3 linked regions of the Daphnia pulex genome follow. The protein of the gene in region 2 purifies or fractionates together with the protein of the main gene of each other region. This does not show direct contact. Links are inferred from orthologs where the notes say so. Each region holds a gene or a part of one and is shown on either strand. Other genes may lie near its edges.

The links.
Region 1: the proteins of U3 small nucleolar RNA-associated protein 4 homolog (region 2) and WD repeat-containing protein 43-like purify together in Homo sapiens (co-immunoprecipitation; 5 studies listed by BioGRID and IntAct, counting the BioPlex papers as one, with this or other methods). This does not show direct contact. The link is inferred for Daphnia pulex from reciprocal best matches to the Homo sapiens genes UTP4 and WDR43.
Region 3: the proteins of U3 small nucleolar RNA-associated protein 4 homolog (region 2) and WD repeat-containing protein 75-like purify together in Homo sapiens (co-immunoprecipitation; 3 studies listed by BioGRID and IntAct, counting the BioPlex papers as one, with this or other methods). This does not show direct contact. The link is inferred for Daphnia pulex from reciprocal best matches to the Homo sapiens genes UTP4 and WDR75.

Annotation. Positions count from the first base shown.
Region 1 is NC_060019.1:12,668,524-12,673,470, forward strand, and holds WD repeat-containing protein 43-like, read left to right. Parts: upstream 1-1,828; 5' UTR 1,829-2,014; coding exon 2,015-2,206; intron 2,207-2,571; coding exon 2,572-2,837; intron 2,838-2,900; coding exon 2,901-3,134; intron 3,135-3,200; coding exon 3,201-3,368; intron 3,369-3,432; coding exon 3,433-3,598; intron 3,599-3,661; coding exon 3,662-4,015; intron 4,016-4,092; coding exon 4,093-4,262; intron 4,263-4,333; coding exon 4,334-4,569; intron 4,570-4,631; coding exon 4,632-4,867; 3' UTR 4,868-4,928; downstream 4,929-4,947. Other genes in the region: uncharacterized protein LOC124191035, read right to left, coding at 1-460, 527-949. UniProt on the Homo sapiens protein: Ribosome biogenesis factor that coordinates hyperactive transcription and ribogenesis. Part of the small subunit (SSU) processome, first precursor of the small eukaryotic ribosomal subunit.
Region 2 is NC_060026.1:2,371,918-2,377,095, forward strand, and holds U3 small nucleolar RNA-associated protein 4 homolog, read right to left. Parts: upstream 3,276-5,178; 5' UTR 3,221-3,275; coding exon 3,205-3,220; intron 3,149-3,204; coding exon 3,019-3,148; intron 2,953-3,018; coding exon 2,709-2,952; intron 2,649-2,708; coding exon 2,564-2,648; intron 2,495-2,563; coding exon 2,358-2,494; intron 2,299-2,357; coding exon 2,118-2,298; intron 2,038-2,117; coding exon 1,900-2,037; intron 1,778-1,899; coding exon 1,707-1,777; intron 1,593-1,706; coding exon 1,326-1,592; intron 1,192-1,325; coding exon 595-1,191; intron 390-594; coding exon 96-389; 3' UTR 57-95; downstream 1-56. UniProt on the Homo sapiens protein: Ribosome biogenesis factor. Involved in nucleolar processing of pre-18S ribosomal RNA. Part of the small subunit (SSU) processome, first precursor of the small eukaryotic ribosomal subunit.
Region 3 is NC_060024.1:6,403,168-6,408,267, reverse strand, and holds WD repeat-containing protein 75-like, read right to left. Parts: upstream 3,491-5,100; 5' UTR 3,408-3,490; coding exon 3,283-3,407; intron 3,213-3,282; coding exon 3,023-3,212; intron 2,958-3,022; coding exon 2,674-2,957; intron 2,618-2,673; coding exon 2,433-2,617; intron 2,364-2,432; coding exon 2,208-2,363; intron 2,137-2,207; coding exon 1,916-2,136; intron 1,838-1,915; coding exon 1,302-1,837; intron 1,241-1,301; coding exon 1,053-1,240; intron 991-1,052; coding exon 830-990; intron 769-829; coding exon 574-768; intron 501-573; coding exon 255-500; 3' UTR 170-254; downstream 1-169. Other genes in the region: zinc finger protein 664-like, read right to left, coding at 1-53. UniProt on the Homo sapiens protein: Ribosome biogenesis factor. Part of the small subunit (SSU) processome, first precursor of the small eukaryotic ribosomal subunit.

The sequences.
Region 1 (4,947 bases), on a different chromosome or scaffold from region 2:
TGACTTCTTCAGGAGCTACATCAATACCAGCCATAAGAGAAGCATTCATATTTTCTTCCTCGCCATCTGCAAAAGCACCTACTGAACGGCGCTTTCTTTTGTTACCTGGAACTTCTTTCTTGGTTGGGGATGGTTCTTCTTTATTCGCTTTGTTTTGGCGTGGTGATTTGGCTTGAGGTGATGGCTGGCTTGTTTTCTTCAGTGGCCCTCTAGTTGCTTTAGCCATGGCTGCAGTCTGCGGTGGTGGAGGGACCGTCTTCTTCGATGGCGCTTGAAGTTTGATTTTCATAGTTTTCTCTTTAGGTTTTCTGACAGGCGACAACCGTGTTGTTTCTTTGACCACTGCCGGGATTTTTTTAGTTTTTGACGCTACTGGGGTGGCAGTAAAGCGAAAGCCAGCCGACTCGCGAGCCTTCCTCATTAGATCCCGCACGTGCTCCGACAGATGCTTTTGCATTTCCTGTTGAAGAAAAACAAACAAATGTGTTAGCTTATTGATATTAGGGGAAAATGTTTTTCTTTTTACCTGTCTAGCTTTCATCTCACTCCCAAAACTGCTGGCTGTGTACTGGCATCTTTGAAGCAGGTGGCATGAGTAGGAAAATGTTCTACGTATTTCATCTGAATCCATCAGAGAAAAGAGATCCACCAGTTGTTTCTCAGTTAGGAGCTGAAGTTGAGCCAATGATAATTTATTGGCATCAGTAGTCTCTTGTTCGGGTTCAGGTCTTCCTTCAGTGACCTGTTTGCGAGGCCTTCCTCTTGGGTTGCGAGTCTTTCTAGCCAAAGAATCATTGTGGAGAGTAGCTGAAGCAACTTCTGCTAACATATTCAACAGTCCACTGTCAGCATGGCAGCTATCATCATCTCTTGATTCTTGGGCTCCTTTCCCTTCAATGTCATCATCACAACTTTCCATTTTAACTTTGCACTCCAGTTTTTGTGACATTACTCAAGCTACGATTCACCCTTCATTAGTTTTTGAGAATGGTCCTAAAACACAGAAAAAACAACATCAATAATCTAACAAAACAGACAACAACAAAAACCAGTAATCAATCAATAATACCAGGCTTGGCATAATATAGTTATTCCCAACTCAAATAATAAGAAAATAAAATTAACATCATAATAAATATTAAAATAAAAAAAAAATTAATTAAAATCGTTAAGCTTTTTGACTTTTGACTCGTAGTGTTGACTATGAAAACATTAGCAACTCTAGCAGAAAGGCGTCGACAGTACTATTATACGAAGTTTTCGCGCCGCTTGGCTAAAATGGCAGCCGACACGGCACAAACGCAGACGATGTACATCCTAACGGCGGCATTGTCCGTCATCTCGACTCGACTTTCAACAATTTTCGATAAAACGACAAAACAATCTTTAACGAAATGTACCTCAAACTACTCAGAATCGAACTTCTAATCTAAACAACACCAACAATTGTCATGAATATGTCAGATATGTTAGGAAATAACGTTAAAAAATGAAAAATGCTTTGAGATCAAAACTACCTTTAGTCTGCTGGCTTGAGTCGTCTGGAGAGTGAATGGTGGGGGGTAGCTAACGCTATGTTGCCGATTTCCTATTTTGATTATTTTTTGCTATCATAATTATGTGTTATTTATATTTATATCTACTGTTCAGCATTAATAAAAATTTATTTCACAATTCATAGGTTGTAGTTATAATCACTGGATTTATTCATTGCAAGTTAAAAAGCTGTTCCTAATTCATCATTAACAAGCTGTTTTTTAACACTATTTCAACGTAATTAGATTAAATTCACCATATTTATTCTCATTTATTTATCCCGTTGAGGAATTTCAGTCTAGCTGGAATATTTACAGGATTTTAAAAATAAATGGGTCGAGAAATCAGTGTGAAATACAGCGTTGTGTGAGATTCAAAAGAATTACAACCACTTTACATTCTTAGTGCACTAGTGAAATTACATTTGTCGACATCGATTGTATTTCCACGTGCTGCTGTGGAAAGAAAATTTGATGTAATGGCGGCTCGCACTTCAGAAACTGCGTTTTCCCCAAATGGACAATACTTTGCTAATGTAAGCACCGACAGCCGATTAAAAATATGGGAGTGTGAATCCGGAAGACCAAAGCAGGAATTTACCCCCGCGTCGCACTTATCAGCCGCTTGCACGTGTCTCGTTTGGGCACCCCCTACCAAACAGCCGGAACAGGTAAAATTTTTCGTTGTTATTAGTTATATGTAATATATGTAATCATTAGTCAACTTCTTGCAGTTTTAACTGCAGATCATCTGATAATGTTTTGAGGACATCAGTCACTGGACTTGCTTGTGTCATTGTCACTCGCAGAAATCTAACTCCAGAAATTGTGAAGCCATCTTTAGTAATTAAAGCTCATATAACATTTACAGATATTACTGATAAGACTAATTGAGTTCTGGTTTGATTATTCAAATTTTAAAGTGTTGTTAGTTCTCTTTATACTAATAGTACTAGGTAGATACAATTGCCTTGTCCCTGTGTATGTACCACGAACAGTTGTATGGCTTGAATAACAATTGTTTATTCTTTTACAGATTGTGAACCAGAAGAAAAAGAAACGTAAATCCAATGGAGAAGAGAGATCTGGGGTGGCTGGGAGTGATATTATTGCTCTTGGTACAGCCTCAGGAAATATTCTTCTATATAGTCTCAATAGAGCAGAATTGGTACAACAGTTGAAGGGAGGCCACACAGGGAAAATACGCTCTTTGTGTTTTAATAGTGACGGCTCGTCTCTTTTCAGCGCTGCATCGGACCAAAAAATCGTTGAATGGGATCCGGTGGAAGGTGTTATGAAAAGGTCTTGACAGTTCAGAATGTGATAAAAAAGTTCCCATTATTAATGTGGTATATTTTGTTTTAGTCATTGGAAGGTGGAAAAAATCCACGTTTCCCGAATTTGTATGCTGCAAGATGATTGCACTCTTGTAATAGCTGGCCGTTCAATTCAATGTTGGAATGTAGAAAGCCGCTCGATTGTAGCCACATTCACCGGCCACACAACAGAAATTACTCATCTGCTACCCGTGTATTTACCAGGCACAAAAGTTGGATACTTTCTAAGCGCTGCTGATGGAGACCGTTGTATCAGTGCATGGTTAGTGTTTGTAATAAAAACTGAATAATTCAGCATTTACAGTTGCAAGCATTACTAATATTGCAGGAGATTCGTCGGGGAAGAGAAAAACGGGCAGTCCCAGGCGTCGTTTACTTTGCAAGATGATCCGTATAATTTTACCGTTTCAAAACCTGTTTCTGACAAGGATCCAGTCGTTTTGGCGGCAGTGACGGTCACAGGGATCCTTCACATCTTTGAGCATCATTTAAATGGGTATAATTTTTTTGTTACATTTGTGTTGAATATGGATTCAATGATTTGTTTTGTAATTTACTAGACGGTCAAAGAAGCCTTTGCAACCAGTTGTAAAGATCCATATTGGAAGTGATGTAGTTGGTACCGCAAGTCCACTTCCCGTTTTATCTGCATATTCGTGTGGTGATGCAGATGGAAACTGTATCATTGTATACGGGTCGCTTGTTCGACCTGGATTTGAAAAGATGGTATGTTTTATTTATTTAAATTTGCTGGTGTACATAGTAATTATTATTCGATATGTGTAACAGTGTTACCGATCCCAAGAAGGAATGGCTTATATTGTTCGAAGAGATCCAGCTTCTCTGGATAATTCTAAATTTGATACTACGTCATCGGCTTTGAAATTGAAAACTCCCATATTGCCAGCTGATGTTAAAACCTTAGCTCCAGAGTACATGGTGCCAATGGCAGCGTCCGCTGAGGTCGGAGGTGTTGTTGCTGGAAGAAAGCGGAGAACGCAAAATTCGGAATCAAGTTCTGGTCCGGTTTCGGCAAAAGATTCTCTTCCGATGGAACAGAGGCTTTCAGCTTTGAATCTTACCAAGACCGTCGATGCCGTTGCCCCTCCACAGGCCGATAACATGGCCCAACTTCTTCTTCAGGTTTGTTGAAACACCAGTAAAATAAAACCTCTTGCATTGCTTCGCATCATCTTAACCTCTTCTTCGTCATTTTATAGGGGCTACACAGTAGGGATCCAAAAATTTTACAGAGTGTGTTGGATCGCGGTGATGTTCACATCATCGGCAACACGATTCGGCGAATTCCAGTACAGGCCGTTTTGCCACTTATCCTAGAACTGACGCGTATGATGCAATTCAGAGGGCATCCCAATTATTCTTATGCAAAGTACGTATATTTGTCGTGTGTTCCTAGATAAATGGCTGTTCTTACTATTCTTTATTGTTTCCCGTTGACAGGTGGTTGCGATCTTTGTTGGAACATCACGCTGGATATTTGACATCGTGTCCTGATTTGGCGTCGGTTATGACGCCACTCTTAGCTCTGATGACTGCCCGCACTTCGCTCTTCCCTAAGCTTTCGCAGTTACGTGGTAGACTGCATCTTATGTTGGGAGAATTGGAACATCGAAGCGATAAACAAGATTCTACAACAACTGAACTACCAGCTACAGCTCTTCTTGTGTACAGAGAAGGTATTAAAATCAGAAATATCGACTCAATGTCTATCAATACTGACGACTTAATACTTTCCCAGAATCGTCCGACGAAGCAAGTGAAGAAGGAGATTGGCCACTACAATCTGGGTCTGAATCAGAAGATCAATGGGATGAATTATCTGATTATGGCGAAAGTATGGACGTGAACGAAGTGAAAGGTGACAGTGATCAAGAATCTGACGATGAAGACAATAATGAGGAAATCGACGAAGAAGTGGAAGAAGCTTCTGATAACGACATTGAAAGCGTTGTAGAAAATGGGTTGTCAGATTGATTTAATTTCAGTTCCCCATGGATTCATGAAAATTACAAATGAAGTTAATTTTCGAAATGTATCTACGCAAAAATTTTTTT
Region 2 (5,178 bases):
CCAAATAATAATAATAATGAATGAAAAAAAATCGATGGTCGACCAAAACAGGGAAAATTTGTTGTTTGATTATTATTTTGTTTTTGCAGCAGTACTCAAACTCCGAATCGTTTCTTGTACAAGGCCGGAGGCAAGTGTTTCTCCAGCGCCAAAGGACTGACTTCGACGGCCACCAGTTCGCCGCCAACGTCAAGGGCACCAAAGTAGGCCAGGTGTTTGTATTTCTTCGACATGCCAAAGCAAGAAGACGACGGTCCACTGCCGGCCGCCGTCGAGTTCAGTTTCTGTTGCTGGGCTGAGGGCGCCTTGAGCGCGGCGGGTGGAGCGTCCAGGCTGTCCTCCGTTCCCGTATCGAATTTGGTAATCTTGGCATCCGGCTCAGAAAATTCCTATTCCAACCGGCGAAAGAAGAAAGAAAATAAAAAGGGATAAGAATAATAGAAACTCTCCACTGGCCAGTCGAGGGGTCATGGGGAACTGTTACCAAAGCGGCCATCAACTTGTTTTGCCTTCCCAGGAAAGAAAGAAATCAAACAAAAGAAAGCCAAACAACAACCGTCGATGACAACATACCGAAAAGGGTCCCATCTTTACCTTGTTCTTGTCGATCGTGTAGATGACGCTGTCGTCGTGCAGGATGATCACGTCCGGGTGGCGGACGTCGAACGTGATGTGCCGGACGGCGCAGGATCGACTCAGCCACTGGACGGGCAGCTTCTCCGAGAGTTTCTTGGAGAAGGGCGTGTACTGGCGACGGATGACGTCGTACTCGACGATCTTGTGATCGGCGTACGACACCACCAGGAGATGCGACGACGGATGGAAGGCCAGCGCCGTCGGGTGACTCTTGTAGCGCGGCAGAGTGGCGTGCACTTTGTAGGATTTCAGGTCCAGGATGACGACGTTGCTCGTGTGATCGGCCACGACGGCCAGTCGACCGTCGGCCGAGCAGTCCATCAAATGGATGCAGTCGTCCATCGTCAATTGGCCGCTCTCGCGGCTGAACGTGTGAACCATTTTCATCGATCCCGAGCTGCCAACGTCAACCAACTGGAGCGTCAATTTCGGCGTGGCCAGCAAGAGACGGGCAGAAAGGTCGGGCTCTGTCGGGTGATGGATGAACATCATCCGGTGGCAGGTGCCGACGTCTTCCGGCGGTACCAACTTTTTGAGTTGCAATGTTCCAGCCGACTGGGGGGAGAGAAATAAATGAAAAATATAAAAAAGAAAGTCGTTTTCACATTTTTCACGTCAAACGGAACAAGAAAAAGCAATTCGTGAAAGGCCGAAAAATACGGGACCAGAAAAAATAAATAAATAAATACCTGAATGAAATGATAAATGTAGACGTTGGACTCGGTGGCGTAGGCCACGTAATCGCCACCGGGTGACACGGTAGCGCAGACAATCCATTCGTCATCTTTAGCCTTCAGCTGCAAGAGACGGGCCGGCTCTTGGGATAGTTTCAAAAAAGTATTGGCGCTGAGCTGGTGACCGCTCGGGGCGGCCGCGCCCAGCTGCCACACATCCAGCGACGTCGGGTAACGCAGCAGCAGCTGTCGCTTGCCTTGAGCCATCTGCACGCACGGCGCCTGTGTGTTGTAGACGAATCCCCAAAAGACAACAACAACAACAACAACAACCGCGAGCCATCATTATTCAAGTCCGTTTCTCATTTTTCTTTTTCGATATTTTTATACACATACCTGAGGTAAGGGTGGGTATCTATTTAACGCCTTTGGAGGATATGATGAGATGCACAAATAGGCATCCACGCCTTGAAAGAAAAACCCAAAAAGAAATAAATCATCAAAAAAGAAATATGACGGAATTCATTTCGAGATGATTGAACATTATTCTTTTTGCAATTTAAATGCATGATTTTTCTTTTCGACATACCTCCGGATATTAATTTGGAACCGGCCAGGGCCAGACTGCGTACGTCGTGGGAGTGGATGGCACGCTGGACAGATCGAATCCACTGATTCCGGACTCCGGCTGTGACGCGAGCAAAGAGCACTATGACCGGATCGACTCCTGCGATTCAATCAAATGTTGTAGAGTGGGCCAATGATGTTATCTATCCGTTTTTAATTGAACCAATGAATTGAGTTTACCAGCCGAGTAGAGAGTCTTTTGATCTTCAGATAGACACAGGCAGAGTACGTCGGCTTTGTGGGCGTTCACTTCGTCAATCAGAGTGCCCAATTTACCGTTCCAAAACGATGTCATGCCTCTAGAGTCGCCACTGATGATGACAAAGTCGTCTGTGATGCAGACACACCAGACGAGAGTTTCCTATTAAAAAGAAATGGAGTCAGAACTTTGAATGGAAAGTGGAAGGCAAATGGTTTTACTTTAAAACTGTCGGCACGACCGAGAGATAGACGATTGACGGCGTGACCAGTTTTCACGTTCCATACTCTTATCGCGTTGGATGATCCTGTGACGATAAAGTCGCCTGAGCTGTGCCAGGACAGAGAAAGAATACGACCTAAAGATTCAAATGTGCACCAAAAGATAAAATTCCACTGCAATCGTCAAAACACCTTCAAGTTCTAACCTTCTTGTTTGTCGAAAACTTTATAGTACATCAATCCTTCTTCAAAGATTTCAAACAAGCAGACATATCCTTCTTCAGAGCCGGCCTGCAGACAACAACAAAAATTGAATTACAAATACTTTTGCTGTAATGTAAAACAATTTACCGCCAAGTGTGTGTGTTCCTTGTTGACTGCAAGACACCATGCAGATCCTGATGTGACAGCGTAACTTGCTTTGGGCGAAAGAGCAACCAAGTCATACTCGACCACAAAACCATGCAAGCCGGTGGAAAAGAGCCTGCCTTTGGACCAAACTAACGCTTCGATTGAGCCTTCTGGGGAACCAGGAATCAACTTTTCAATGTGAGGAGAATGTTCCAAATTCCATATTTCTATACTGTTGTCTGACCTTTCAATTTTTCAATACAAAATGAGCAACATTGTCATGGGATAAAAGCTTTCATTTTTGAATTACCTGGAAAGAGCTAGCCGGTTAGACTCGTAAGCCATACTGTGTATCGCTTTTGGTTCTACATCGTAGAATCTGGTGCTGTGAATTTTGAAGAGGTTCTTGTCCATTTTACGAGAAATAATTGCAAAAGCAGCTAAGAAAAAAACAATATCAATCAACCGTCAAATTTACTGCAACAAAGAAAATAACTTGGTAAATTGTTCATCAAAAGTCATAACCACGTTACACGCTTTGCTAGCAGACGACCACGTGTTGCCAGTGCACTGAGTCCATCTACCGTTCATTTCCGAAGCTTGTATCCTTATCCATCGAAATTCAAAAATAATCAATGAAAACTCAAGTTGACAGGTACGCAACAGTGTATTTGTATTTTGTAATCGTCTTTATATACAAAGAAAAAATCAATACATTTTCGCCCCCACAAAAAACAAAACCTTTTCAATATTAACACAGTCCCACGACAGTTGACATCAAACATACTTACCCTGCACACACAAAGGCAACTTCTTCAATGTCACACAATGATCAAAAAGAGTAGACTACTTACTTTTTAATGCTCTCTCGTCGTTCAGTTCAAGTGGAATGGGGACAGTCAAAACTTCTGAAGGCCGGGGCCAGGATTATATTAAGAATAAAAAAACCCAAAACAAGAAAAATGTCTCTTCTTGAATTCTGTTTTGTCCTTGGCCATGAAAACGATTACCAAAGCTCGCCGAGTGACGCAGTTGCGGTCGTCTTTCTTTTCGTTTGATGTTTCGGTATACTCCATCGTCTACGACTGTGTGTACTACAAGTAAAAACCGTTGCTTTATTTGATTTCTTCAAGTACAATTTCTTTCTTCAGGGCTGTCGAAGTAACCCGACCAATTGCCTAAACAAGAAAATAAACCCCTCCCAGCTCCCTCCACTCTTGATGGGCTGTGGTACAAATGACGTCAGATTGACAAAAGCTGCGTGGGTACCAGAGACGTACGTACGTACATACACACCACAGTGGCCGCGACACTTCAGCGTGAAACCAGAGTTTGTTTCAATCCCAAAAGTTCAGCGACAAATAATAAACAAGACAAATTCCTGGGCTGCTTTGCTTTGCTTTGCTTTGCTGCTGTCGGGATGGAATTGGAGTAAGGCGATCCACCCGGGCGAAGTTTCTGGTCCGTCATTCCCAACTCATCCGAATGGCACGACGGAATCTGATGACACCCACCACCAATCCAGTAAAGGCAGCAATCGGCTGTCCTGAATTCGAGCGGTTGAGGATTTGCATGTCAAGGAGAAATTGGAAGACTCTGTGATATTACTCCAAGCCCCAAAAAAGAATAATCGATACGTTTAATGCGGAAGAGCTCTAAAACATTTAGAAAATTCGTTAAACTTTGATCAACAGTGTGTGGGATGTTTGGTGCTCATCAAAAGCGACGAAATCCATGCCCATCCGGGAAAATGTTGGAAATCTAATTGTCGCTGATTGCATTCAGGACCTTTTTTCAGTCCTAAAATGTCGACCCTTTTAAGAGCTGACGGGGAAAATTCGATTCCGGCGGACATTTTCCACATGTTGATCATCGGCTGGCTGGCCCGCCATGGCCCGACGAAGAAAATTGGCAATCCATCCGGTAGCTCGTCCTTAATCAAATTCTTGTATTTTTGATTGTGTCCATCGACGAATAGTCGGACATGAAACGGCATCGGTAAACACGACATGTCCGAGCGGCCCCTCCTGATTGCTTAATTGATCGTGGAGGAAAAAAAAAAGTAAAAATCTTTTGGCGCTGCCGGAATGGCAAATTGATGACCCTCTTCGAGTAGTTTTCACACGTCTAATCTCTGGCGGCCATCAATTTGTTATCAGCAACTCAAATGAAGGCCCCCCTTCTTGTTTTATTTGGTACCGCCTCCCCCACCCAACAAAAAAGCAGCCGGATCAAATTGAAGTGGAATTTCTCTTAGTGTTGTGCAACGCTCCCGCGTGTGCGTGTGACTGATCGGCCGGGCATTTCCAGCTTTAAAGAGACACACACACACGGCCACTCTTCTTGTTATGTTGTCAAAGGGCAAAAAGAAAAAGAAGAAGAAGCGCTGATGGAGCCAGCTGTCAACAGCTGGGCCCGTCCCGCCCGAAATATAACAGCGTGTGTTTTGATAGCCCGACCAACCAGCAAT
Region 3 (5,100 bases), on a different chromosome or scaffold from region 2:
CACTTGTAACAAAATACTTGTTCGAATTCTATCGCGCTGTCTAAAGTTTCCATTTCTATCGCCTATTAATACAAGTAACTTTTCTTCAATGTTGTTGTTTATGACTTATCAGTGACACCTGTCGGCAGTATGTAGAATTAGATTTGAATAAAAAGAAACCTTTCGGAAATATTTCGATAAGGGCGTAATTGGCGGATTGCATATATAAAAAACAAATAAAGCCAAGAGACAGTTTTAAAATGTGTCAAATTATTTCAGTTCTTAGTTATCCATTGGCAATCCAATGTCAATAATTTTTGTTGAGTCGCTTCTTCCTTCAATGCCGGCATCTTTGACTCGATATGCCCGTTCATGAGCGTAGGCAAGTCATTTGTTGCACCATTCTCCGAGTCAGCTTTCACGGTCATCAATTTGGTGTCATGCTTAATCATGAGGTCAATCATGAAGGAATTGCAAATTCTAGACATTGGAGGTAAGGTGGAAGTTGACGTCTCCAACAGCTAAATAGACCAAATGGAAGAATCAGTTAATCAAGTAAATGTATACACAACTGATGATGAGAAATGTAGTTACCGATTGAACTGATTTATATCCCTTGATGCCGTTTGTTTGATGGATGACCGGAACTATCTGCTTGGCTGCCGAGATCTGTTTCTGTGCTTTGATGGCTGAGAAAGGAGTCCAAGGTAAACTGTCAATGTGAGAAATTGGGGTAGTCAACTTCTCGTCAAAACCACAGACGGAATTGTCATCCACACTGTAAAATTCCTATAATCAAAGAAATTCGTTAATACGGTGATGGTTCACATAGTAAATCTTTTAATCTTACTTGTTGATCATCAACAATCAAAAGCCGTGAATTTACTAGCCATTCTGGGCTGTTTGCCAGAGGATTCGGTCGGGGAACAAAAAGAGCCGCAATAGGTTCTGAACTCTTCACGTTCGTTATAGTATGTACCGGTTTCGAACTCGAAGGTGCGAACACGAACACTATGAACACAATGAAAGATAAGCATTCGAATTTCATTAATGGATTTTCACGGGAAAAGTACCTTCACTGTTTTGCAAGACCACTGCCATATAGCTGGACTTGGGATCAGGCACCAAACACCTGATAGGGCTACGCAATTTCCCGACTTTCCAAACTAGTCCTTTACTAATTACATCCCATGCGAAGAGGGATGATTTTGAAGCACAAACGAGATAGCGAAAGCATTGATCTCTTCCGAATTCCATCAGCCTAGAGTAACCAAACTGTTAGTAAAACACTAGCCATTATCGTTTTAGGTTTGAAAACTTACTCAATAGATTCTTCAATAAGGTTATGGCTTAAAGTCGTGTTGAGGTTGATGGTCATTGGATCCCATAAAGTAACAGTGTCTTGAAAAGCAATGGCCAGTAACGAGCCGTCTTCCGAAAAGGATGCAGCGGTTGGCATCATTTTACGGAAGTCTCCTGCAACGTCGCAAGTCCACGATTCCTTCTGACGGTAAATGTCCGTGTCGTCGACTAACCGCCAAATTTTGAATTTAAGATCGCGGCCAATAGATACGAGGCAAGGGTACTCTGTGCCCAGCAGTCCCGGTTGGAAGGCCAAGGAGGTGATCCGATCGTGGTGTGGCATAGTTACGTCCGTGTTGAGTTCGTAGTTGGCTTGCACAGCGTCGTATCGCCAAAACTTTAAGTTCATGTCATGATAGCCTGCTGACATGTTCGACCAAACTTCCAGTGTTGCTAACCACTCACCTGTGGGTGACACAGCAACTCGCAACACTTCGGCGTTACCGATGATGGTGTTTCGTTCGTCAGTCAGAACGTTGCGATTGGCAATGTCCATCTAGAAAACAAATTACAAGAAATTTGTTTCATTAATGAACATTTTGTGATCGAACTTGTGTGTGAAAAATTGTCTTACATTGAAAATCATGGAACCTCTCAGAGGATCAAAAAGCTGGAGGAATCCAGCTTGTGAATTGAAGAAAATTCCTTGGGTTCGTGGATCAAAAACCAGACCAGTAGGCATCACCGATTCTTTCTTTGATTCACCATCTTCAAGACCACGGATCGGATCGTGTTTGATTAACCCACCAAAAATGGCCTGATTGATTTTGTTGGTCGAATCAATTATACGTATAGCTATGGGGGGGGGGGGATAAAATTCTATCATTTAAACCTTTTTTGTTCCTTATTAAAAGTTTGATCATTACCATTGTCGGAATGAGATGTGGCGACGCAGATGTTATCAGGAGCGTTCACAATGAATTTGATTGTTGAGCCCATACGTGGAAGAAACTGTCTGTGTTTGCCTTCAAGTCGCCACTTGACCATTACTTTCTCAGATCCTCCACTGTAAAGGTATTCACCTAAATTTAAATTTAAAAATAGTACATAATTAAGACACAGTCATGCAGAACCTCTTAAAAGCAACAAACCTTCACTAGAAAAACAGACCGAGGAAACAGCAAGTGTGTGCCAATGGTACACAGTCTTCACTGGTCTGATCTGATTAACAAAGTCATGCCAAAGAAGAATACGGCCAGAGATATCTCCTGTGGCCATTATAAGTTTTTCCTTGTGCAAAGCAATACAAGTGAACTTTCTCTTGTCTGTCATGTGCCTATTTCAAAATATTTGATAAGTTAAAATTCAAAATTATAGAAATATATAGCTTACTTTTTCTCAGCTCCACTATTCATGTCTTTGACCAACACACCATTACATTGGTAATTCAAGGCCCCTATAACCAGTGATCCATTTCCTTGATCACAGCCAAATGCAACAGACTGGGGTTCTTTTCTAATATCTTCAGAGAATATTTCCCTTTCACTTGTGCTATTGACAATCCAAAGAGAGGAACCGTTGGTATTTTTTGATGGAGTTGATAACAGAAACATGCCATTTCCTGGATAGTAAAAAGAACAGAATTTTTTCATGCCATCAACTGCAACTGAAGTTTTCTGCAAAAAGAATGGAAGTTTAAGAAAACAAAACTTGAGAGGGGATAAATTTACTAGACAACAACCTTCAGTAGTTTTCCGTCTTTTATATCCCATTCAATAACGTCTCCAGAGGTGTCACACGAGTAGAGAACATTCTCCTCTTTGATACCCAAACCAATGATATCAAAACTATGTTTTTTTAAACAATGCACTTTATCTCCCGATTGGATGCTGTAAATTCCTACTTGGCGGCCAGACGCGATGCATAAATACCTGTCAAGCGAATAGAAGCACAAACAAAATAATTCCTAAACATTTTGACTGTTTGAAATAATTACTATACCTTGAATCGTCGGTAAAAACCGGAGGTTGTTTAACAATGTCGGGTGCATCTTCTTGTTTTTTAACAACAATATTGTCTGTATTAGTTTTAGCTTTATCCGGACCACGTGCTTTCTTATTCGCCATTTTCACTATTTAAAGCCGAAAAGAAAAAGACAGAAAATTGTTCGTCTGCTATGGCAATGGTTGCCACTCTGTAGCGTCTGTGCGGAATAACAAGCAATCCGCGCAACGCTGGGGATAAACAGCGGCAAATATAATTTTATCAGAAATCACAGACGGGTGTTACTAAAACGCGAAGCGAAACGGCGGAACGCGAAACTCCTAAAACGCGAAACAGTGGTGCGAAACGGTCCCAAAAATTTTCGGGACCGTTTCGCAGTTTAGGCGCTAGAGGTCTTACTAAAATGCGAAACCGTAGACGCGAAACAGTCGACGTCAGTCGTCAGTGTATTGTTAAAAGTAGTCGTCAAAGTGTCGAACTAGAAGCTAATAAAAAATTGAAAGTAAGTTATTTTTTTAATTTATTTATTTAAAGACGAGAATATAATTCAAAAATTTCCGTGTATTTAAAGTTCTTCGTTTCGAGAAGTGCATATTACTGTTCTACACAACATTTATTCATTATGATTCTTATTATTGATTATGACAATTATGATTCTAGCCTTCTAGGTTATCACTTCTCAGCTTACAGTAAGGGCACACTGCCAATGTGTGTAGTTGCATGTAGAGGTCATTCATGGTCCTGTTAAAACACAAAGTAAGTTCAAATATTTCATGCATAAGTTTCAAAAGTTGTATAACTGTTTGCGCGTGTATTTTCTTCGTTGCTAAAGTTGCGTGAAGCGTTTGCTTTGGAAAGCGCGACGACCACAAATATTTACTGGCGATTACGTAGAAAATCCAGCACAGGGCACGATACATTTTTTTTTTATGCTAAGGTTGACATTCTGGGTAAAATCTCACTTGAACGACATTTTTATCGAAAAACGAAGTAGAATTGTCTTTCTCAACCGAATATAGCATTTTAAAACTTAACAGCTATCCGCCTTTTTATCTGAGATGGAATCTCGTTCCGTTATTTCATCATTCATGACATCGCAAGTAGCGTCAGGAGGGAAATCTTTTCTCGTTCAGTTTAGATTGAAAAAACAAAACAAAAACGAAGCATTTTACATTTTCATAAAGCTGAACGGTACGCATAAAGCATTTGCGTGCCATACGTGAAAGCTGGAGTTGAAAATTGTTGAAATGTGTCCTTAGTGCCTGGCAATTTGTTCATTTTTTTGTCTGCTTTTAAAGGAAAGTAGAGGAAAAAGAGAATTTATACTGACACCGTCACATATTGGCGTGGACGTATGGATTAGATTGTTAACGAATCACGCACGTCCGCCATATATGGCGTCACTAAGCGTCCCTATCGTCTCCTCGGGCGCGACGTATGAAATTGATCAAACAGATACAAACCATTTCTTTTTGTTTTCATAGAAAACATACTTGTGTGTTATCACGCGCCTTCTCTCAACGCAAATGAAAAATATTACTACATGTTCCGATTTTGTCTTCACCTTCGAATTTTGTCTTATTTGTCCGACTTCCCTTGACATCAGGGTCCTTGGGAACAAACTTGAGGAATCCTCCTCTCTCAATTGCGTAGCATAGAAAGGAAGTTGTAACCGCAAAGACAGATTCGTTTTAGAGGCTCTTTTTTTTTATCTTGATTTAATTCGTTCGGATTCGTTCGGAAGTTGTAAGGAGCGGTTTAAAGTAGTTGGGGGCGTGGTAGTAAGGGTGTTCAGAAATTTAAAAACAGGAAATT